3 linked regions of the Oreochromis niloticus genome follow. The protein of the gene in region 3 purifies or fractionates together with the protein of the main gene of each other region. This does not show direct contact. Links are inferred from orthologs where the notes say so. Each region holds a gene or a part of one and is shown on either strand. Other genes may lie near its edges.

The links. Proteins that work in one complex are often made in the same cells at the same time.
Region 1: the proteins of lats2 (region 3) and mob1a purify together in Homo sapiens (affinity purification with western blotting; 9 studies listed by BioGRID and IntAct, with this or other methods). This does not show direct contact. The link is inferred for Oreochromis niloticus from reciprocal best matches to the Homo sapiens genes LATS2 and MOB1A.
Region 2: the proteins of lats2 (region 3) and sav1 purify together in Homo sapiens (affinity purification with western blotting; 4 studies listed by BioGRID, with this or other methods). This does not show direct contact. The link is inferred for Oreochromis niloticus from reciprocal best matches to the Homo sapiens genes LATS2 and SAV1.

Annotation. Positions count from the first base shown.
Region 1 is NC_031977.2:19,147,110-19,154,770, reverse strand, and holds the start of mob1a (MOB kinase activator 1A), read left to right. Parts: upstream 1-4,584; 5' UTR 4,585-4,766; coding exon 4,767-4,780; intron 4,781-5,892; coding exon 5,893-6,059; intron 6,060-6,479; coding exon 6,480-6,573; intron 6,574-7,661. Other genes in the region: mthfd2 (bifunctional methylenetetrahydrofolate dehydrogenase/cyclohydrolase, mitochondrial), read right to left, coding at 1,172-1,251. UniProt on the Homo sapiens protein: Activator of LATS1/2 in the Hippo signaling pathway which plays a pivotal role in organ size control and tumor suppression by restricting proliferation and promoting apoptosis.
Region 2 is NC_031983.2:21,074,287-21,082,165, reverse strand, and holds the start of sav1 (protein salvador homolog 1), read right to left. Parts: upstream 3,078-7,879; 5' UTR 2,834-3,077; coding exon 2,740-2,833; intron 2,047-2,739; coding exon 1,558-2,046; intron 1-1,557. Other genes in the region: nin (ninein), read right to left, coding at 4,855-5,061, 5,877-5,990. UniProt on the Homo sapiens protein: Regulator of STK3/MST2 and STK4/MST1 in the Hippo signaling pathway which plays a pivotal role in organ size control and tumor suppression by restricting proliferation and promoting apoptosis.
Region 3 is NC_031987.2:27,638,625-27,646,004, reverse strand, and holds the start of lats2 (serine/threonine-protein kinase LATS2), read left to right. Parts: upstream 1-4,088; 5' UTR 4,089-4,317; intron 4,318-7,380. Other genes in the region: uncharacterized protein LOC102075830, read left to right, coding at 1-866. UniProt on the Homo sapiens protein: Negative regulator of YAP1 in the Hippo signaling pathway that plays a pivotal role in organ size control and tumor suppression by restricting proliferation and promoting apoptosis.

The DNA of each region.
Region 1 (7,661 bases), on a different chromosome or scaffold from region 3:
GGCACAGTCGGAGATACTCGATGGTTAAAACCTATGTACAGAATTCAGGACTGTACAGAGTGCTGCCGCACCGGTTTGTCCTCATTGCACAACTGTCAAACATAGTTCTCCGTTATATAATGACAAGCAGAGCGCAAGGGCTAATAACTGAAGAGTAATGAGCCATCGACAGTGATGTAACTGTCACTTTTATCCTGTCCAAAGTAATTAAATCCTCAGAGAAAAGGATTGAGTGTTTTGGGGAGAATGGGACCAGTGTACCAGGTCCCAGAGGCAATGTGTCGAGGCTACAGGTCTAATAGAAGTTTAAATCCCCCGATAGGCTGAGGAAAGATCTCTCTTTACAAATGTTTGAATAACTCATGTTCACAATATTTATCTTTTGTTATTGTTTACTCTGCACATGATAACACAGCACTAGTCCTTCTCGCAGCTGAGTTTGCAGAAATTTTCCTCACATATATAAATGAAATTAACTTGAGGTAACGTGATCCCACCAGATCTAATTTGGCAAGCAGTGATGTAAGATAATCACACATGCATATGTCCTAAATTATCAGCCTTGTGTCTTTGCAAATCACGCAGATCATGCGCAGGACCCACGAGATTTAAGAGTAGTTTTTTTGTGTGTGTGAAAGATTAGTTAATTGCATGTAGTCATACTGCACTCAGCAAGTTTCCAATAAATACCTGCACGATGCAAACGCTTAACAGGCTGCTGACTAGCTGCTGTAGCATTACTCTCAGCTTGTTATATCAGGTTTTACAGACCACGTGATCAGATATACCCTGCATGTTCATTTTGCCCCAGGTGTGCACACCTACACCTCGAACTCCACCTGAAACCTGCCACTGGGTGCAAGCAGTCACACAGATTTCATCAGCCAGCCCCCCCACCCCTCATCTACACCTGCAATATTACCGGCGTGACGCTAGGGGCGCTGCGAAATGTGCTCAACTGAGGACGTTTAGTACAATAAAACAATAAAAGCCAGCAGAATAAAACCCAGCGACTTCATCCGCGTACATAAAAGCCTACAAATAAGAGGGCACACGGGGGGTGGGGAAACTAAAAAAGAACCAAACACTCCTACCGAGTGAGGAAACAGAAGCGCCTCAGAGGTCGTAAAATGACCGTTAAAGCCGCAGCAGATGTGCGGAGGAGACTCACCTCGAGGCGGACGTGTGCAGTTTACAGACTTGGTGCTGTGTGTGCTGGCACAGTTTCCTGAGAGTCCTGAGCGCTGCCATTTCTCACCGGCTCACAGAAGAGGAGACACTGCTACAGCGCCGGTTACGAAACCCCGGGTCTGACGGAGGGAGGCTGTGAAGGAGGAAGAGGAGCAGAGCGGTTTTAAACACCTCCCCCCCGCTCGTGGAAGCTGCCTACGTCACTGCTATCAGTCGCCAGCCCTCTGCTGCAGAGCTCTGCCCCTTCACAGCAGCCCAGCGTGGAAGCTCATGAGCGGTACCAGGCCGTTATTCTTTCAATATAGAGTCAGAGTTGTTGTTGTTTTTAGAGCTTTAAAGTTATTTTTCACGTACAGTTTCCACGTTCAAACAACCAGGATCATCATAGCTAACTAAAACAACACTGAAACCAAGTATAGGTGTGGTAAAACATTTGAATCAACTGAAATAAAAGCTAATTCATTAAATAAAAACTTAAGCATATTATATATTTGCAAAACTAACTTAATTGTTTTGGATTTTCACAGAACTTTTTGCAGTTTTCACAGCAGTTCACGCCAAGGTCACACCCTGTAATGCTCAGAGACAGTGTAAAAAAAACCCCAAGAACCCCATCACAGACTCCACAGGCCTCAGTTGGCATGTTAAATGTTAAAGGTCATTACAGTACAGTTAGTAAAAGAGTAACAATCATGGCTTGTTTTTCCCTCTATCCTTGTGGAAACAGGCTTGAGGTTTCTGGTTCAACTTCTGAGGTGCACAAAGAAGAGGAAACATCTGAGGACTCTGACTAAAGGCTACAGGCAACAAGGCACTATGGAGTTGTTGTTCATACTATAAATGTAGTTTGAAAGAGTTGCCAGGAGAAAGCCTCTTCTTCCTAAAAAGAATCTGAACCAAACCACAAGACCTCTGGAACAATGTCCTGTGGACAGACAAGACCAAAAAGGAGATCATAATGCACAGCACCGTGTTTGTCATAAACCTAACACCTCATAGCAGCTGTTAGGCACGGTGGTGGAGGGGTGTTGATTTGGGCTTGTTCTGCAGCCACAGGACGCTTTGCACTCATCGGGTTGACCGACTTTCATTTTTCTCATGACTTTTTTGTTGTCTGTGTCACTTTTCATACGTTTGTTCATGGACTCGTTCATTAACCAAAATAAAAATAAAAATGAGAGAAGAAATCGGAAACAATAATTTGTACTTACAAGACTGACTGAAATAAAAAATAAACAGAAAACATTCTTACTTTTTGGCAGTGTGGTCAGATTTGAAACACCCAGACAGCTTAATGAGGCTTTGGTGTAAATTCACATCATGTCTGTATCAAATGAGGTGTTGTGTTTGTATTATAATATTATAAATCTTGCTTCTAACTCTTAACACCCACATTATAATAAGAAAACTAAAAGCAACGCTGAAACTGGATTGCTACTATTAGATTACTAAATGATTATCATGGCTTTCTTGGTCAAGTTGAACCATTGTAATTACTTTATTCCCTATTGGCAGCTTTAATATCCTTTAAAACTGTTTTTTCTTAAACCCTAATAAAAAACAACTACATGGCACATTTATCTATTGGATGTATTAAAGCAGATTTTCTTTCAACGTTTAAATACTCAGTTATGTACAGATACACAAGAATTGTATTTTAGTTGAGCACTTGATTAAATGTAGGTCTTATCTGTATTCATGTTCATGTCAAACTGTGGGCACTTAAAGGAAAAACAGTACTAAGGCAGTGGATTCTTTGGAGTTAACCCCATGTCTGCTGGAGGTTTTGTGGAAAAATGTAATACCTGACTGAACCTTTTGAAACACATTGATCTGTTCTCTGTTTGCCACTGTTTGTTCTCGCTCTTTGGTGGAACCACAAGCTAACAGCTTAGCTTAGAGCTTGGAGAGTACCGAGATGTACTGTACTTCCTTATCTGGAGAGCACATGCAGGGCGGGTATATGAATGAATATGAGTGAAAGTAGGTTCTCTGACAGATAATGTTGTATGCTTCGGATCATATGCTGTCTCTCTCTTCTCTTCTCCATCTTTCAGGTACAAGTTCATCTTGTTTTATATGTCCAAAGATATATGTATATATTGATACCTCTCAGATAGATTTGTGTTTCCAAACTAACGATGCCTTCACCTGCACTAATGTGTCTTTTTTGCCTCATATTGCGAATTCCAAATGCAAATTCAACGCTTCAGACCTTTTACTCCAGATCTTTTATCGGCATAATTAGTTTTGCTATAATGAGGGAACAGGCATCACCTGGCAATGAAATAGCTTATTATTTAACTGAAAATGAGAAAGATTTAAGCTGACAGTCTGCACTTAGATCGTATATCCATTGTTTGATTTAAAATCTCCATCTCACCCTGTCCCTGGGATCCACCTCTATCACACTAGCCCTTTTCATGTCCTCCTTCACTACATCCATGAACCTTCTCTGAGGTCGTCCTCTTTTCCTCCTGTCTGACAGCTTCATATTCAGCATCCAGTGTCTCTCTCAGCCCCACCTCTCTAACTTTGTCTTCAAACCTGAGCCGTCCCTCTGATTTACTCATTTCTAATCTTGTTTGTCTTGCTCACTCCCAAAGAAAATCTTAACATCTTCATCTCTACCACCTCCACCTCAGTCACCTTTCATGGCCACCATCTCCAAATCATATTTCATAGCAGGTTTCAGTGTAAACCTTCTCTTTCCCTCTTGCTGTTATCATTGTATCACAGATCACCCACCACTCGTCTCCATCCACTCCACCCTGCCTGCACTCTCATCTTTGCCTCTCTTGTACACTTTCTGTTTCTTTGGATGGTTGACCCCAGGTTTTTAAACTTATGCACCTTCACTACCTCTACTCCTTACATCTTCAATGCACCTGTCTCCCTCTCATTCACACACATATATTCTGTCTTGCTTCCTCTGACTTTCATTCCTCTTCTCTCAAGAGCAGACCTCCACCTCTCCAGGCTCTCATCCGCCTGGTCCTTACTCTCGCTACAGATCACAGTGCCATATGTAAACATCATTGCCACGGAGACTCCTGCCTGACCTCATCTGTCACCTTGTCCATCACCACTGCAAACAAGAAGGGGCTCAAAGCCGATACTGAATATAATCCCACCCTGACTTTGACCTCATCCGTAGCACCTACCAGACAGCTCACTGTTGTCACACTGTCCTCATATTAAATGATCAAAAGTTCATAAAGAATTTAAGGGGATTGTTCTATGTCACAGTATTACAGTGTCACAGTATGTCACAGTGCTCCAGGATGACACATGAGAAAGTAACAGTTTTATAACAGAAAGGTCTTGAGCTTGGAAAATGTACGTAGTAATACCTACAGGCAGACTGAAGGGGGCGACAGACTACCATTTGCGCTGCAGCAGACAGCAGACAGAGGAAGAGGCTCTGTGGGTGCAGTTCATGTTAGCCTTCACTGTTGCTGTTAGCAGGCACCCCTGACAAGTGCCTCGCACAGTGTACTCCTAAAACGCGTTTCTGTTTACTAAACTAGCTTCAAGAGTTCAAATCCAGGAACTTTAACGATTCCTGCGCCAAGATGAGCTTCCTGTTGTAAGTAAAGTGTTTTTTTCTTCTTTTTTTAAGCGCTCGTGAAGTTACAGCCGGAGCTTGCGGTTAATGTTAGCTGCGCTTCTACGAAGTTCAGTCAAGGGAAGTAAGGGGCGATAAAATAAGACACCGCTACATAAAGTAGTCAGCTAACCGCATCCCAGTCTTAGTATAGGTTTAAGTTGCGTTAAAGTGACGCCTTCCTTACGCAGAGCTACCACTGATGATTGTAACATGATCGAGAAACTGTTGATTTACAGTTTGCCACAACTCACGAACTGTAACTTTTTAAAGTAGTGAGTTAGTACGTGCTAACTTTGCTAGCCTGGTGAGCAGCGCTAACTCGCGTTTGGTTAGCCAGCTTAGCTCATATGGTCACTCTTTAACTGACTTAAGTGAGGCTAGACATTCAATTTTTAGTCATATCCCACACCTTTGGAGGTCTAATCTCGCTGGGTGGTTATAAAATGTTAAGTAACGCCGCTAATTAAGTTTCCGTTGTTTACAGTAATACTGTGACACTGGTGCATTTCCTGTCAGTGGGTATACACTATAATGTGGTTGAGTCACGGCTCTGACGCTGTGGAAGCCAAAGTTTTTTGGTTTGATGGCAAACGCTGCAGCGGTCACCCATCACGAGTTCAGCGTGAAGTTTATAGATGTCCACCACCAAGCTTGCATCTGCTGAGTGCACACATGAACAGGAGTCCTCCCGTGTGTAGATCAAGGCCCAGGAAGAGGATCTACTCTAAAATTAGCCTTTTAAAAACGACACTTTAGATAAAAGTCTGTTGTTTATGTAGTTCACTATCACAAGTTCAGTCTTTACTGTGTTCAGCTCTCTGTCCTGTTACACATTTGATTCGACAATCTTACTGCAAATGACCTTATAAAGAAAAAAATAAAAGAGGAAGGAAAACACATGAAAGTCAGTCATGCAGGGATCAACATGTCCAGTTAACAGTATGTTTATCAGATGTTTAAGGTGTAAAAATTACATTGTCAACCTTTCAAGGGTAAATGTTAACCCCGTGGGGGGGGCAGACAGATATGGCCTGTACCACATGACCACCATGAAGACAATATTTCTTAGATCCACTTTAAATTCTGTCCAGTGGTAGTCGCTCATCTAAGACCTTCAAGCCGAAGAAGAACATCCCAGAGGGCTCCCACCAGTATGAGCTGCTGAAACACGCAGAGGCAACGCTGGGTAGCGGAAACCTGAGACAGGCTGTCATGCTGCCAGAGGGAGAGGATCTCAATGAATGGATTGCAGTGAATAGTGAGTGACTCAGTACAATGACCCTGCACACACAGTATCCAACTAACCAGTTAAAGTTTGTACCTGTGCCCAGTGTTAACATGAATCATAAATAAAATAGTTCTGTACAGGTGCTGCACATTTGCACCACCCTGTGGTGTAAAAAGAGTAATAGGGTCATAGAAGAGTGCACACAGCTGGCAGACTGGTAAATAACTGGTTGTTGCATTAAGCAGGTATTGTAGAATTACATGTTTTATATGTTATCTCTAATAAAACATGGTATGTTTAAATATATGGCTTATGAGCATTTTGTGCTTTTAAATCTATTAAACTGTGAGTGTAGATACTAAAATACATATTATAATCTCCCAGTTCTTTCATCACAATAACATGCATAAATTCTGGATAAAACAAATAAGAATTTACTCTTTCCTTTAGCGGTGGATTTCTTCAACCAGATCAACATGCTGTACGGTACCATCACCGAGTTCTGCACCGAGACGAGCTGCTCCGTGATGTCTGCAGGACCAAGGTAACGCCAATCATTGTCCTCATGTTTGTGCTCTTAATTTAGAGTAAAAGTATTTCCACTAGGGCATATTTAACTGAAGACACGTTGTGAAACATCAGGAAAAACACGGGTGTTTAGATGCTTTATCTATCGGTGTGGTTACTGATATACACAATGGCCCACTTTCAAAGGTATATACAACACTTAGACTAGGGCTGCAGTGATTAATCAAGTAATTCAATTATAAAAAATTCTCGACACAAATTCTTTGCTTGAATGCTTCATTTAACACATGACTCTGTAGCACGGGCCAGCAAAACTCAGAGGCAGAGCAAAGGCACATTTTTATGCATTAGTTTAAATTTCATATCTATCTTATTTTGGCCTTTGACTGTACTTGAGATTATTTATATATTTTTACATTTAACAGAAGTGAATTTTTGACTTTTAAGACTTGGGTTATTATTGAGCTATGGGAAAAACATTTTTTAGTGTTTGATACCCAAACATGATGTTTTTGTTGAGGATTTAACTCAACTCCCCAACAAAAAAAGACAAAGAAAAACAAAAAGCTAAATCTGTTTTGCACTGTGTATCAGATAAAGCTAAATTCAGCTGACTCATTTCATGCGGCCCACTTCCTCTGTTTTATCAGCTCCACAATTACACTTTATCTATTTATTAGCTGTTATTTTACCAGGACGTCTCACTGAGATAAAAATGGCTTTCTTTTATATAAGAGACTTGGTCCAGCTGTTAAGATCTGATCTCCTGAGTTAACTGCAGAATCAGATTCCCAGATCACATTTTTAGTGGTGCAGGTGGTTAAGTTAAATCAGCTTCAAATCAGTCATCTGAATGTCACATGAGGAACACGGGAATTAAATCTTGCACGTGGACCCTGTAGAAGCTGTTTAGTTAGACTCTTCCCCTATCCTCTGTCCTGCCAAGACTTTCTGCGCTCAGTCTCTAATCAGGAGGAAGAGACGAGGGGGGTTCACTTCCTGTTGACATAGCCGCCATCAAGACTACGAAACTTCTGCATTTCCCCCTTCTGTGCTTTTTTTGGCCTGTCAGCTACCAGATGACGTTCCACTGTTCTGACAGAT
Region 2 (7,879 bases), on a different chromosome or scaffold from region 3:
ACAAAGCCCCTCAGTTCATCCAGAACTAACCGCTCTTTCTTTTAACTGGCTGCCCTTTGCAAACACGAGGTTTAAACAGCAGGTGTGTGGGGCTTCAGTATAGTATAGGACACCACTTAAACAGTATATACTCTCTTTTATTTCCCAAGGGGTTGCCACACAAGATCTTCATACCCAATTTGGCTGAGATTTTCCAGCAGATGCTTGTGTGATACAACCCTCCTTATCTGGGCTTGGGCACTAGCTTGTGCTTCTACCTGGCTGCCTGATGGACCAACAAAAGGACAAGCAAGAGTAGCCCACAGACCGGTTGTACAACATACTTTGGACACTGTCCAACAACAGACGGTCTCTGCAGGTAGATGGGCCAGCATGCCACCCCCACTGAACCATAATTTCAGTTTAAAGCAAATGTGACCAACTATACCACAGAGCCACGCTGTAATAACATATAGTGGCATTGTACTGACTGGGCGTCATGCACAAACATGCTACAGCGTTGTTTTTAAGCACAAAAAAAGACTGCACTATATTCAAAGTGATGCTTGAATGACTTTACCTTGTTAAAGAACAAAACAAATCATGCTTTCCCTTGTTTTCTTCTGACTTCACTACTTGAACACACGCAACTCAGAAATAACGTCAATCCCTGCACCAACATTTAACTTCTGAGTTATTTTCAAACTGCTTTGATTTGATTATTTTCTTGTTAAAAAGTACTATTTACGGGACAAAAACATGCTGTTATCAAAATGAAAAAACGTCTGCCAGTGTTTGAGGGGTGACCCCTCTCAAACTTCACTGTGTTTTAAATGCAAGCATAAAGAGATCAGCACATACGTAACAAGGATGATTCATGCTAGCGAGCAGTTTGAGGCTGAGACATTTGACTGGGGGCAATGTGCAAATTACTAGTTTGCTGGCAGAAAGTTTCAGCAAACACAGTGGTGAAAAATGCAGAGCCTCTAATGCTTGTTTGACTTTACTCCAAACAAGGCTACATGATCGGCAGGCCTGACATAATACTGAACTGTATACATGACACTGACAAGCCAGCCACAAAATAAAAGTGTCTTTATGGTACGAGGAGGACAAGAAGCATTCCCGTGCCCCCAACCCCCCCCCATCTCAATGTAATTACACTTACATCATAGTAATGTTTACAACACAGAGCAGTAAAATAAAGACTGAAATGAAATTGCTCTTTTCAATTTGACAACTAGTGGCCTGCATTCCTTTCAGAGTGGCCTCTGTGTAGTTGGACAACCATCCATAATACTCAAAACAGAAATTATACATTAGTACAGCCACTGACACTACTACATCTTGCCATACACCAAAGAAACAAGGGTTTGAAAAAAAAAAAAAAAAAAAAAAAAAAAAAAAAGGTCTACAAGGGGAAATTTTAAAAAGTTGCTGATGGGATGTCAGTCATAAACTTTCTGAAACTAGGTGTTTCTTGCTTTTATCACAAAACCTCTTTAAATTCGTTAAAATATATAAATAAAGACATGAACAGCGTTAAAAGGGAGCTTCACAAAGAAATGTAAAATCTACCTGAAGGGGGTCTGTTTGGAGCTGGGGGAGTATGTTGTCGGGGATGTCTTTGGAAGTTGTGCTCATTGTGCTCGTAGTATCTATAGTCTTCAGGAAAGCGGTCTGGGACTCTCCTTGGCTGGCGCTGCTGCTGCTGTTGATGTTGCTGGTTTTCATAATAAGGTTCAGAGGGGTAATAATACCGGGCATCTCCATTCTCAGACATGGGACTCACGTCTGTAAGGAAGGACTGTGATGAGCCTCCATACTCATGCGAAATGTCTCCCAGACTGCGAGGCAGGTACGGAGGTGCAGACAAGCGGTGGCTCTCTGTGCGGGCCACCTCATGAGGAGTCTTCTGCACATGGGTACGGAGGACACTCTTGTTACGGGACACCACAGGTTCCCGGCTGGGTGCCAAAGGGTAGGAAGAAGGCACCATTTCTGGCAGAGGGACCTCTGTGCGTCTGGGTATAGTGGGTCCATGACGGATGAAGGAGGGCATAAGATCTGCAATCAGGTCAGCAGAGCAAATGTCAATAAAAGGCAACACAATATCTTGGAGCTGCTCATGCCTGATGACTTGAAAAAACCAAAACAAAACAAAAAACCCATAATAAAAACAGAATATTTTACTAATAGGAGCCAAATCGCGTACTTTTAATTTTCATACCTGAATTATAATGTTTACTGACTCTCGAATAAAACTTTTACACGAGAAGGTAATTTAGTAATACCCCCATTTCTACAAAATACTGCTATTTTCACTCCAGTGAACATTCATAATACTTCTATAGATACTCTAATAGAAACACCTAACAGCAGCTATCACAATAATCATAAGTCATTACAGACACTAAAAAAATACTTTTAACTAAACTAATCTACTAGTATAATATGCCTTTAGCTGAGTCATTTAGAGCTGTAAGCATTATCTTATAACTTTATACACTACAACTGGCGCTCATGTAGCATTTAGCTACAATAACTATCATCGTAGCTGTGTTTGGTTAGACTGTACAGCATTAAACTGCTGTTTACAATCGTGGGAGCTTTAAAAATAAGTATAAATGTTCCCACAGAGTAATTTTACATTACTTGTTAATGTTAGCCAACTAAGCTTTAACAGTGTTTAACTTTAACTAGCGAGCTGAGTGATGCTATTCGGGGCTAGCTGACAAGCTAACCACTTGTTGCGCTTACTTCTCAGGAGCGGCGACGTTTCCTTCTTCACATACTTCCCGTGTACCTCGGCTGGTTTGGACGCTTCGTTCTTACTTTTCTTTCGTGAGAGCATAACTCAAGGCTCGGAAAACATCAACAGCACGGTGAGGTAAAGTCATGGCACAATCCTTCGACTTTGCAACCATACCGGCCAGTTAGCAAAGCGCGGAAAGTCAACATTTTTCCCCGCAGCTTTGGATTAGCTAGCCGCAGTTAGCCAGCTAACTGAAGCCATAGGGAGCGTCAGTGCTGCTGCAGCGGATCCAGTCCCACTACTGGGAAGTCCTTCCATCTGAAGGAGGAGAGAGAGGAGCAAAAACCACCGTGGGGCCCTTCGGTGACATAAACACAGTATTAACAGATACATATGAAAATTTGATTTAGAAATAAACTGACATGAGAGACTTTTGAAGGTTGGATGGCAATCAATAAATAATTAAGCCTATACCTTTAAATTTATTATACTACAGTGTTCAAAAACTGTACTGTAGTTAGAAAATATCAGTTAAATTTTTCCTAAATCTCTGTTGTCTTTACTTATACACGTTTTCATACAGATTGTTTAATGCATGTCTGTTTTGTGCAAACTTTGGATGTAAACAACAAAAGCAGCAAACCATGAGCAGCATTTTAAAGCCGTAGAGAGTTAACTGATCGTTTAGACTAAAGTGACTACATTTCTGGTCACACCTGTATGTCAGGGATGTTAAATGGCCCAGGGGTTGGAACAGGCTTCTCAAGGGTCTATACTGACCCACTAGATGGCTTAAACACTGTGGAAATTGCAGATTATTTTTTTTTATCTGTATTGTCCAGTTTTACAGCTTCTCTTAAAAACACATTATCCTTTCATACACCAAAGTAGGTACTGAATAAATGATATGAAATGGTTTTCTTTCATTATTTACATTTTTGTTTTGTATCGGAGCCACAGGTTAAAAAAACCCCCAACAACTTTATTTACAGTATAAAGTGTGGGATGCCAGTGTTTTTTTTTCTGTAGCTGTAATCATTTACTCAGACATAAACCTAAAGAATGTACATTATAAAGAAATTTGTCAGCAAAGAGTGAGACGTACTGTTGAAAATACACTTTTTTTTGTTAAGACATCTCAGTTGTTTAATATTTATCTGAACTTTTTTACACTGAAAGAAAGGGGAATAATTAAGAGGCATCTTCTAACATGTTATTAGGCCACAGCTTTAGCTGGATGTTGGACCACAATGTAAAATAAGTTTGACATTCCTGCCATGGATGGTTGGCATGAATTTTAAATATGTTGATTTTGCTTGAATCACATTTATTGTTATCATGTGTATGTCCAATGAAAAAAAGCCATAACTTACAAACCACCAAACACAATCCATTCATTTTATTTATATCTGTAGCACAGCCATTACCCTGTCTTAACTCTAATGCTTACTCTGCAATAAATGCAGATTACAATTAATTACAATAACAAGGTACTTTCTTTCAAGCCAGAACAACCATAATCACATAGCCTGTACACCTTTACATATTGCAACAGATCATACAATTTCCTTTAAAAGTAAAATGACATGTAAAATATTGCCACTTGATAGACATTTAAAGTCTTTTCAATTTCAAGTAGTGTTAGGTAAAACATGATTTGACTTCTCAGTTTGCATGATTTTACTACCGAACGACAGGTTTCTATTTATTCTTTTACAATAGGGCTAGAGAAACAACTTTTGGACAGTTCAAACACAGAACACTTGTATAAAAAGTACACTTCATAATTGTTTTTCCTCTCTTTGGACAGAGAGCAAGTTTAAAGGTAAGATATTTACTAATAGGTAATAGTGCTTTAAAAATATAAATAACTGTAAAAAGTCATGTCTTCTTTGCAGTTTGACCTCATATTTAATTATTTATGGGTCCCATTAATTACTGGTTAGAATTAAATGGACAAAAATACTGCATATTTAACATAAAACCACCAGTTCTCATGAATTGGCAGAATCTGCTGCATAAAGTTTGCAGCAGTGATAAATATAATAAAATAAAAGTATTTAGTAAAGATACAGTGCAAATATTGACTTTGACACACATTTCAAGTTAATCCCTTGTGATCATTTATAATGGTACGGCAGCGGAAGATGTGACGGGTTTAGGTCACACACTATCTTATTGAGGCTGGAGATCTTCTCCTCCAGCAGGTAGTTCTTCTTCTCCGCGATTTTCTGACGTTGCTCAGTTATCTCCAGAGCCTTCAGCAGCTGGGCATTCTCCACATACAGATCTTTGATTAGTACGTCCGCTTTGCCATTCTTGTGCAGCTAGAAAAGTCAAAGTAGATAATTGATTGTAATGGGTTACATTACATGGCAATGTTTTGAATAATTTCAAATTGTTCGAAAAAAAAAAAAAAAAAAAAAGGGGTTTTAGTTATGGAGTTCCACAAGGTTTTGTACCAGGACCCATACCATTTCTCTTAGGTAGTATTTTTACTGGATACATTTCCATTGCTATGAAGACTAAATGGAGTTATCTACGACAGAAAACACAATATGGGTATAGTTTAAATTAACAACATAACCTTTCTAATGATAAATTCTGAGTTTTTTTTATTTTATCTCTGTGGAATTGCCAAGCATCTCGGAGTGATGTGGAAAAATGAATTCATACAGTTTTTAATTCTTGGCTGGACTCCTGCAATCACTATCAAACTGTACCAAATGTTCCTCCTAACATATAAACTAACAATGAGACCCCATCAGATCTCATCAGGCCTCTTCTCCTGTGGAAAGAGTTCCAAGTTACAGGTGACAGATGCCCTTCTCTACTTTAAAAATAGTTAATTTTTGATTAAGCTTATAGTTTGCAGATGACCCTGAACCATCCCATGTTGATACAGGCTCAGACTGCTGGGGAACCTCCCATTATGCACCAAGTATGTTTCATTATTGAATAATATTAAATTTTGTCTATCTTCTCCCACAGGTTGTGTTGCGTTGTCATTGTTACCAAATTAGCTAATGTATAGTAGATTTTTGTTGAAATGGCAGTCCAGCTTTGTACAACACCTTACAAAAAAATAAAAAAATAAATAAAATAAAATTAGTGGAAGCCATTGAACTGAAACTGAACTGACCTGGTCTTTGAGTTGAGCAACTTTCTCTTTGAGCAGCAGCTTGACATTATGCAGAGACAACTCTATTTCCTTCATTCGTTCCTCCATGCGCTTCATCTTCGTCTCCCTTTCATCCTGGGGAGAAGACAGTCAAGGACATTGTCAAACTGCTGCTGATGCAAGACTACCATATAAAATGAGTTCAGCTTCTGAGTGGGTGAAAAAAAAATATAATAAAAACAAAACAATTGCAAATGTGAGCGTGAGATGAGTCAGACACCATTTCTTGTGAGCTAGTTGCTTTATTCTTTATTAATGGATTTCTGTTACATTTCTAAAGAGGATGATTCACTAGAAAAATAAATACAAGTATAAAATTATGACTTATATTCCAGATATAGCTACAAAAAATATTAATTAATGAATAAATAAAACAAACTCTAAACATGAAAAAAATAAATAAAATAAATAAAACAGATGTGCATCATAGGAAGAACAAAAATGCACTAAATGATTAAAAAACCCAAAACACGGACATAATGACACGCTGTACTAAAGACAAACTACCAACCTCACAAAGATTTAATAAATACCAGCCAAACATTGAAAATTAATTACCAAACATGTTTGATCAGTCCTTGCTTAAGAAAAACAAAAAGATGTGATTCACTTTGGGTGCTCAGCAGCAACAAAAGAGGCCCAGAACACAAATATACAGTAGAGGACAGTAGAGGACTAAAAACTTGGTATCTTCATTGAACAATCTCCATGAACCCTGACTGCACACAAATAGCATCAGGTAGCATCACCTGGCAACAACAGGTGGGAATGGTTTGATTGTTAGAAAAAGACTCAAAAGGCTGTCAGGCACTAACCTTGGCCCTTGATGACAGGATTTTTCCTCCGAGGATACATACCCTGTCATAAACCCTTTAAAGTTTTAAAAAGACACAAGTGCATAACAGTCATTCCCAGAAAGTAAACCCTGCATCGAAAAGATTCACTGCGACCAGGATGTATAATGAATCCACCAAAGGTCTGGTCCTACCTCTTTCCAGTCTATATAAGCTCAGTGATGTTACATTTTTATTTATTTATTTATTCTTTTTAGAAAACATACAGTCTATCAACTGTCAATGCAAGTATTAATGTGATCAAAATCCCATTTGGAAAACAAGCCAGGAGCCTTTTCTGTGTTTCCCTGCCACCTAGCAGCAATGAAATACAACTACAACGTCATGCCATTTATCTCTGGCACCACAAATGTGGGGCTTCATGTGCCACATTCAGATTTTTACTCCGGATACAGAGGGAGAGCAGAATGTAAGCAGTCTGTAAAGCGAAGAGCAGGAAATGACGCTGGCGTTACAATCCACCGATCCGCCGGCAGCTGTCTGCGTGTGCCGCCCGCTGCTCCGGCATCGCCCCCTGGAGAGAAAAGGCAGGTACACTTCACCAGGGCTCTACCCTCTAATTCTAAAGATGGGCTTTTTATGCCTGAGATGTGTGTAGACTATTGAATAAATGAAGATAGACAAACTAGAAATTCTAATATGAATGCAGATTAATCAATCTGCAGGATGTCAGCATTCCTCCTGTTCATACTGGCTAAGAAAACATCTCTCTAGTTTTTCGTTTTCAAATTTATAGTCCACTGTTTAAGCACTGTGGATTTGGACAGTTGTATAAGCCAGCATGAACAGCAGGACTAATCATACATACAGGGATCTCAAACGTCAATTATTAACTGATCGTCACTGATGAAGTGCTGAACAAAGATGTGGGCAAACTAGGACTAAGTCAGCAATTACTAAAAAGAAGAAAAACTTAATCTGCAAGTAAACTAGCAATGGAGTTTTCTGCAGATGTTGTGCATAATGTTTTTGTTGCTAACAAAGTCCACTGTGTTAATGGCAACCTGGTGATGATAGATGAAGGTGGAAGATGCCACTTACACATATGATAAGTATAAAAGGACAACTTGTATTTTTCGGGAAATGAAGATTTATGCAGATTGTGGGAGA
Region 3 (7,380 bases):
AGAAAGTGAAGTTTTACACTGGTTTACCCAACTACTTTGTCTTAGAGACAGTCATGTGGCTGCTGGCACCTCACATGGATGGAATGAAAAACGTGAAGCTCTCCAAGTTCCAGCAGCTGCTGCTGACACTAATGCGTCTCCGCCTGGACCTCCGCAATCAGGACTTGGCTTACCGCTTTGGCGTGAAAGTCGGCACAGTAACCAGAACAGTTCACCGGATGGTCAACATCATGTCCTCTACTCTGGTGCCAACGGCTGTCTTTTGGCCCTCCAGAGCTGAGCTCCGTAAAAACCTGCCAGCCGCGCTGCGAGCCTCTCATCCTGACTGCGCCGTCATCATAGACTGTTTCACCGTGCCTTTCGAGGACCCGGTCTCTCAGGGGGCGGGGTCAAGTTATAACGTGTTTAAGTATCTGATTGGCGTGGCTCCGCAAGGCGTGGTCACTTTTGTCTCTAGGGGTGTGCTGGGAAACGTCAGTGACAAGAGCCTGGCTGAGGGTTGTGGATTTTTGTGCAAGCTTCTCCCGGGCGATGTCGTACTGGCAAGCCGTGACCTGGACATCGGAGACTCTGTGGCAGCACGTGGAGCCTTGTTTAAAATTGCTGGCAGCTACCAGGGAGAAGCATATGGGAGAACAGAGGGCTCATTGCTGGCTGATCCTTCCTCCGAGACATTGAGCGTGCAGAGGCATGTGGAGAGGGTGATCTCCATGGTAAAGCAGCGGTACGCCATGCTCACGGGCCCTGTCGAGAGCGCCTTCACCGCAGCCTCTGAGCGCACGTCGAACCTCTCAACCTTTGATAAGATTGTGCAAGTTGCCTGTGCCTTAAACAACCTGTGCATCTCTGCTGCTCCACTAGAGTGATGTGTAGACAAACTCCTCGTGCTCCTTTAATGCTGATCAGGCTCTTCAGTTCCCTTTACTGCTTTGGACTGCACTTCTTGCTGTCCCTCTGTGTCTATGTGTCGACACTACATCATGACTACAGCAAATAGATTTATACTTTTCCACTATAATCCTAACTTTCAATCTATGTCACTCCTTGTGATCTGGGTCAGTTTATACTTAGCAATAGGACCATTTCTCCAAATACAGAAACCACATTTCTGAGATGTAATGTCATGAAGTTATGCACCTCCTCTCACAAAGAATGGCCGACTTGCAAGAATTTATTTTGTTTAGGCTTTGGGTGAAAACTGTGAGTAAAACCCTCATGAAATCTGTCTTGATTAGCTATTTGTAAATGCTGAAGTATACACACTGCAGTTTGGGTGATGCGTTTCCACTGATCCCACATCTCTGACTGTTAAGTGTGTCTTTCCCATCCCTGACTGTAGTTACCAGATTACATCGATCTGCTGCAGAGAAGTGGCATGTTGCTTAACCTTTTTTAATTTTTATTTAGTTTTTTGTTGCTTCCCTGCATCTAAATCAGGAAGCGTGCACATAGGAATATGCATAGAAAGAGGTTAAAATAACAGAAATGCCAGACAAAGTAGTACACCTCCTCGGCCCCGGTGTCTCCTCCCAGTTCGGGGTGCAGGGACAGAAGTGTCCTGTGGTTTGTGAAGGAGTACTGGTTCTAAACTCATCTTTTTTTTTGGCATAGTCACATTTTTGTAAGCCAGGTACTTTTTATAGCAAGAGTACAGTCAGCTGCGATGATTAGCTACAAGTTGGCAATTCAAGCACATCTTGGAATGGCAGATGTCTTCAATGTCTTCATCAGCAGGGATTTGCTTGTTTTGCAGGTTTAGACAATAACAATAATAGTAATGATGATGATGAACAGAAAATCAGACTTCAGCTTGAGCTGTATACAGTAATTAACAATGATGTCCATTTTTACTGAGCCACGTGTTTAGGTAATTGTTAATTTCCCCAAAGTAGTTAAAGCTCGTTATTTAATACAAAAAGAATCATCTTTTGTGCTGGTGAAGAAGTAAACATTATTGTGACAGATGCTGACATGCTGTTGAGCCTGAAGAAACACATTGTTAGATGAGTACATCAGCTACATTTAACATGTGGATTCATTCTCACTGGTTTGTCCTCTCCGGTGGGAGACTGTGACAGGCTTTGGTCCATGAGCACGAGCCACAGCAGTAGTTATGGTACAAGGCTGCGGGTTATTTCCAGAAAGGTTACCCAGCAACTGAAATTTTGATCTTTTTAAAGGGTTTGACCTTTCAGTAATGTAGACACACCAACTGGAAAGTTTATACTGATATACAGTATATCTGCATTTTTTTTTTCATTTGAAGAAAACCCGCTCTGAATATTGAATTACATATTTTAGTAGTGCTGCTTTGCTGGTGCCTTAGTTTGTAAAGCTGTTCCAGATCAGCCCATATTTTCTACAGATATTTATTTTGACATCATGCACTATTCTTTGAACTTTTTCCTGGTTTGGTCCCTAAGCCAGATGTGCATGATGAGTCAGCATCTGTAGTCAACAAGGTCTAAATGTGTGTTCCTATTGTTTTGTTGTTTGTTTGTTTTTAAGGTACATCATTCTTGTGTGCTCAACTTTCTGCCAAAACTAATCTAAAGTCACTACACTTATACATATGTTTTCTCCTAAGGTAATTGGTTTGAGGGGCTACAATACAATTGGCTCAGGGCCCAAAAATGAATTGGGAATGCTCCAATAACAAAGACTACACTTAAGTTCAGGTGCTGGGCTTAAACAGGTGATGCTTCATAATCGGTGTTAGGTTCAGAATGTGCCTTCTGTTCTCAGACCCCTGGGTATCCCAGACAACAGATGGGTCTGTCTTTTCTGAGTGGTCATGTTTTGGTTGACTGTGTATTGCTCTGGGGCTTCCATAAGGACATCTAGCCACAATATTTAGTCCACTTGCCTGCTTTTCCCCCCTTCAATTAGCCATGGTGTTTGGCACTGCTGATGCTCTAAACAAACTATAAAAATCAAGTTAATTAGCAGTACTATGGGTTGATATATTTCTTCAGCAGTGCATGTACTTTGGATGAACACATGCTTCCTTTTTTTTTTAAATCAAGTCTTTGACTGAGTAGACTGTATCTGCAGACCTTGCTTGCTCTTTTATGGAGGGAGCGAAAAGCCCCCTTTTTTGACTGATTAAAATAGTCTTACAGTCTGGTTTAAACGGTGTTTGGCCGTTCCTAAAGTAGTGAGTGCCGCTGGAGGACTGTTATCAAGCAAGGCCAAATACCAGTATTAATAGTAGTTAAAAGGCTTTGTGAAATGACTGTTGGTTTATTCTGTCTGTATTTAGTTCTTACATGCATAAGAACAAAGTCAATACTTCCTATTTGATGTTTTTCCTGCTCTAAAATAAGAGCTTCTAGGTTGACATGTATGAAAGAAGTTCATAAACTCATGTTTTTCTCACACTACATTGCTGTTTGACATTATTGTTACGGACGCATGTGCTTCCATGATGTGTAAACTCCTGAAGGTTTCCTGTTTAGTTTCTCTTTTAATATAGCTCCTGTGACTGAAAAAATAAAGTTGTGGAATTGCATCAGCTTACACACTACCCAAGAGTCGCCGTTATGTTTTTCTGTGTGTACGTGTAAAATATTGAAGGTCTGTGTTGTCCTGTGATAACTGACATTATTATAACTTTTTATTTGCTTTCACACTGAGTCATTGGTGAAGACTATTTCCAAGGCCGGAGAGGGGTGACTGAGTAATGTAATGTGCAGATATACTTTATTTATCAAAGGGAAAAATGCTTGGAGGAAGCTCCGCCTGTGAATATTTCAGAGGAAGGAAATCAAGACGTCTCACTCCGTTGCTTTTTGCAGTTACTGCAGCGGTGAAAACGACAGCTCGTCACTACTCGCTATTGCACTACAGCGTAAACTAGAACCCCGCAGTTCTGTTTCTATACTTAACTCGTCTTTAAAATCAAAAGTAAAACTTACTGATGCACTTCAACAAAAAGAGATTTGTACGACGCCGAATACGCAAAAACATTTTTAAGTTTAATTTGTTCGCAAACGGTAACAGCTCCTAGCTAAAACAACGTGAACGGAGTGAACGGCACTCGCCTAATAGACGATCTTCAGGTCCGCTGACGTGCATTGGTCCGTCACGTGACCTGAGGAATGTTAACAATGCAGCGAGTGTCCAACTTTGTGCTGAAGTTCTGATCCTGCCTGGAGTCTGGGGAGAAAATGGAGGCTCATTTCATCATATTTACCCACTGAGCTAGGTGTACGCGCTCAACAACCGAGAACCGGACTCTTTAAAGAAAAAAAAAGTTGCCGTTTAACGGAATTTATTCTCTTCATATTGAGTTTTTCTCGCCACTTCTATCACATGGTAAGTTGAGAGTTGCTTTTTTTGGGAGGGGAGTGGTGGTGGTGTGACTTATTTCCACGACTTGTTGCTGAGCAAAACGTTCCGTTATGGGTGTGTTATACAGCGAGGCTTATGGAAAACGAAATGGAAGTTTCTGTAAGTTTGAGCCTCTTTGGAGCTTACAGGACTGCCTCCATTTTTTTCTCTCCCTGCATTGGAATGTGTTGCTGCTCTCAGCCCCCAACTCAAGCCTGGGATATTGCTGAGAAGGCCCCAGCGCTTTAAAACAGGGCTTTCCGGACCTTTATGCCCATACAAATATCACTGTGTACTAGTTTTAAAGCTTTGGTGCAAATGTGGGAATTCAATTTAAGGGTTTAGTCTATATTTAAATGTTTGTTTATTTGTGTACATTTAAAGTCCATCTTATTTGGGCATCCTAACTTGTGCCTCCTCTGAGGACCACTAACAGTAACAGAAGCTATGCTTTGTAGATGCTGTTAGTCAGAAGATCCTGCATTAATTTCACTGTTTAAAGTGAGTGAACAGATTTGTAGTTAATAAGAACTGAGCTAAATAAAATAGTTCGTAACAGGTCAGAATATTTTTTTAATATTGTATCTGAAAATGAAAATGGAGTCATCTGATTTGAATCTATCATTTTCACTTCTCTCAGGCCCTGCATAGTTTGGCACTGATGCAACAGTGCGTTTCATTCAGGTGTACTGTACCGCATTACTATCCCCAAAACACACTCACCCACTCTCTTTCTTTCTGCTTGACACACTTCTGTCTGTCAAGACAGTTCAGCGCTTTGATTAGTTCAGCAGTGACAGCAGACCTGGGTGATGCAAACCAAAGTCACATGTTTTAAAGGGACGCTTGATGCTCCTGCCAGTCTGTCCTGTAGCGGGGGCGGGGGGTCACATTTTCAAACAATCACACCAGTTTCACTCAGACTAGGGTGGCGCGGCAGTGTGGTGTCATGCACGTCAGAGGTATCTGTCAAAGAGGAACCACTGGGATACAAACAGATGCTTTGGTGGTGATGTTGTCAACACAGTGGATTGTAAGAAGCATGCAGGGATTATTACATGTTATTACTACTACCATATTTGTTTTAAAGGGACAAATGTAAAAAAGTGGGCTACATGCACACAAAAACAATCTAGATGGGTAGATGACTCCAAAGGCTACAGGGAAAACATATCGGTTTGATTTTGGGGTTGAGCTGCAGTGCATCAGATACACACAGAAAGAGCCAAATTGTTTCCCTCTTATACACACACACTTGCACTCTCACAGCTGCAGCCAGTTTCCATCAACTGTTGTCTCTGCCTGCACATTTGTGATGTGTCCTGCAACATTAACTGAGTTGGTCCCACCCACCTCTACCCCCTGTCTTACTCCACCCAAAGCTTAGTTGTTGGCCAGCTTTGCCCATTAGGAAGTTGTGTTCTTTCCTCCACCTCCGCCTCCTCTTGCTTCGCAATTTCCCAAACACAGCAGAGATATGACCGTCCACATTCTCTCAGATCCTTCAGGCAGGTTAGAGGCAATCTTATTAGTATTAACCTGCCAGCTGCTCGCGTTGCTCAGTATTCTGTGGGGTTCAATGTTGCAGAATGCATGCTTTCCCAATTTAGCATCACAGTGGGCAGCTTTGTTTTTGGTGAGACCGAAAACAAAGCTGTGGTATAGTGTGCTAAAGTTTGTTATGAACAACACATGTCCACGAAGAGAAACATGCGTTTAAAGTGTCACATGTGCCATTAAAAGTCAAAAAGTCAAAAAAAGTTATTTTACCAAAAAGAGATTAGAACATTGTCAGTGGTCTGTTTTGTTAAAGTGGATATTTGAGGAATTGATGAAAAAATATTTATGTCGCAGGTTATTTCACTAGTTTTCCTCAGTACCTGTTGGTGTAGCATGAAGTTTAAGTCATCTTAGGTTTAGGGTTAGGTCAAAGAAGGAGTAAGGTTCAGTGATGGGGGTGGTTATGTGTAGAGCATTGTTTTGGGCAGAGTCATGTCTTTTTTTTTCTTGCAGATTTGTAGTTATAGACAGATACTGTCCGTGTAGTTTGTGTTTTGGGTTATTTTGGTCAGCGTACTGCCCCGTGATTGAGCTGCGGTATTTTACTTGTACTTACTTGTGGAATGGAATGCTCATTGCTTGGACACGGCGCCTGAAGCATCGCAGGAATGGAGGCAAGAGATCCCGGAGATGGGGCAACATTTATGGAGCTTGGCCCCATGTTACCCCACCACCCAGCAGTGTAAAAAGAAAAAGCATGTTTTTGTCTATGCAAAGTTTAATCTGTACAAACAGTGAAGGCTGTGTCCTCCTGAAATGGCCCAAAGGGATGGAGACTGCTAGAGAGGAGGAGCAGGAGAAGGAGGAGATTGGGGATGCAGTTCAAGAGCTTTTTATGTTTGGAAGCTTTTTCCTCTGCAGCTGCTTGGTAGTAGCGCTGAGGGATATAAGATTAAGATAATATTGTTAAGAATGTATTTTTAATTATCTAAATATAGAATATCACAGCACTGGGTGGATTCTGTTTGGCATTGCCTAAGACCAAAACTTGACTTGTAAATTTTAGTTTTGGCGTGTTTTCTTTTGAAGGTATTCTTTTGTACCTCCGCACAGACACACGGGAGTCTCTGGGATAGTGTAAGAATTCAGTATGTTGCATCACCATCACTTCAAAGTTTTCAGACTATATTACTTTATCAGTGAATCAAAGCTGTGGCACATTTGAAATTGATGGAAACATCTGGATGTTTAATTTGGTATATTTGTAGCTGCTTTTAAAGATCTCTGTTGGCAGCTATAGTAAGTACAAAAAAAAGTTGTGGTCATGATATCTCAGAGACAAATGTTAATGGTTTTTGAGGAGGAAAAAATTAGAATCCACCCAATGCTCAACTGACTACTTTTAGACATTAAATAAAACATTCTAGGTTGTTAAAAAAGATGTATGCCAAACTGGGGGGGGATGCTCTGGGAATACTACCGCGATCCTCAGATAACATCAGCCGGGGAAACTTGTAGTAAATCAGCTCAACCAGAAAACTCCAAAAA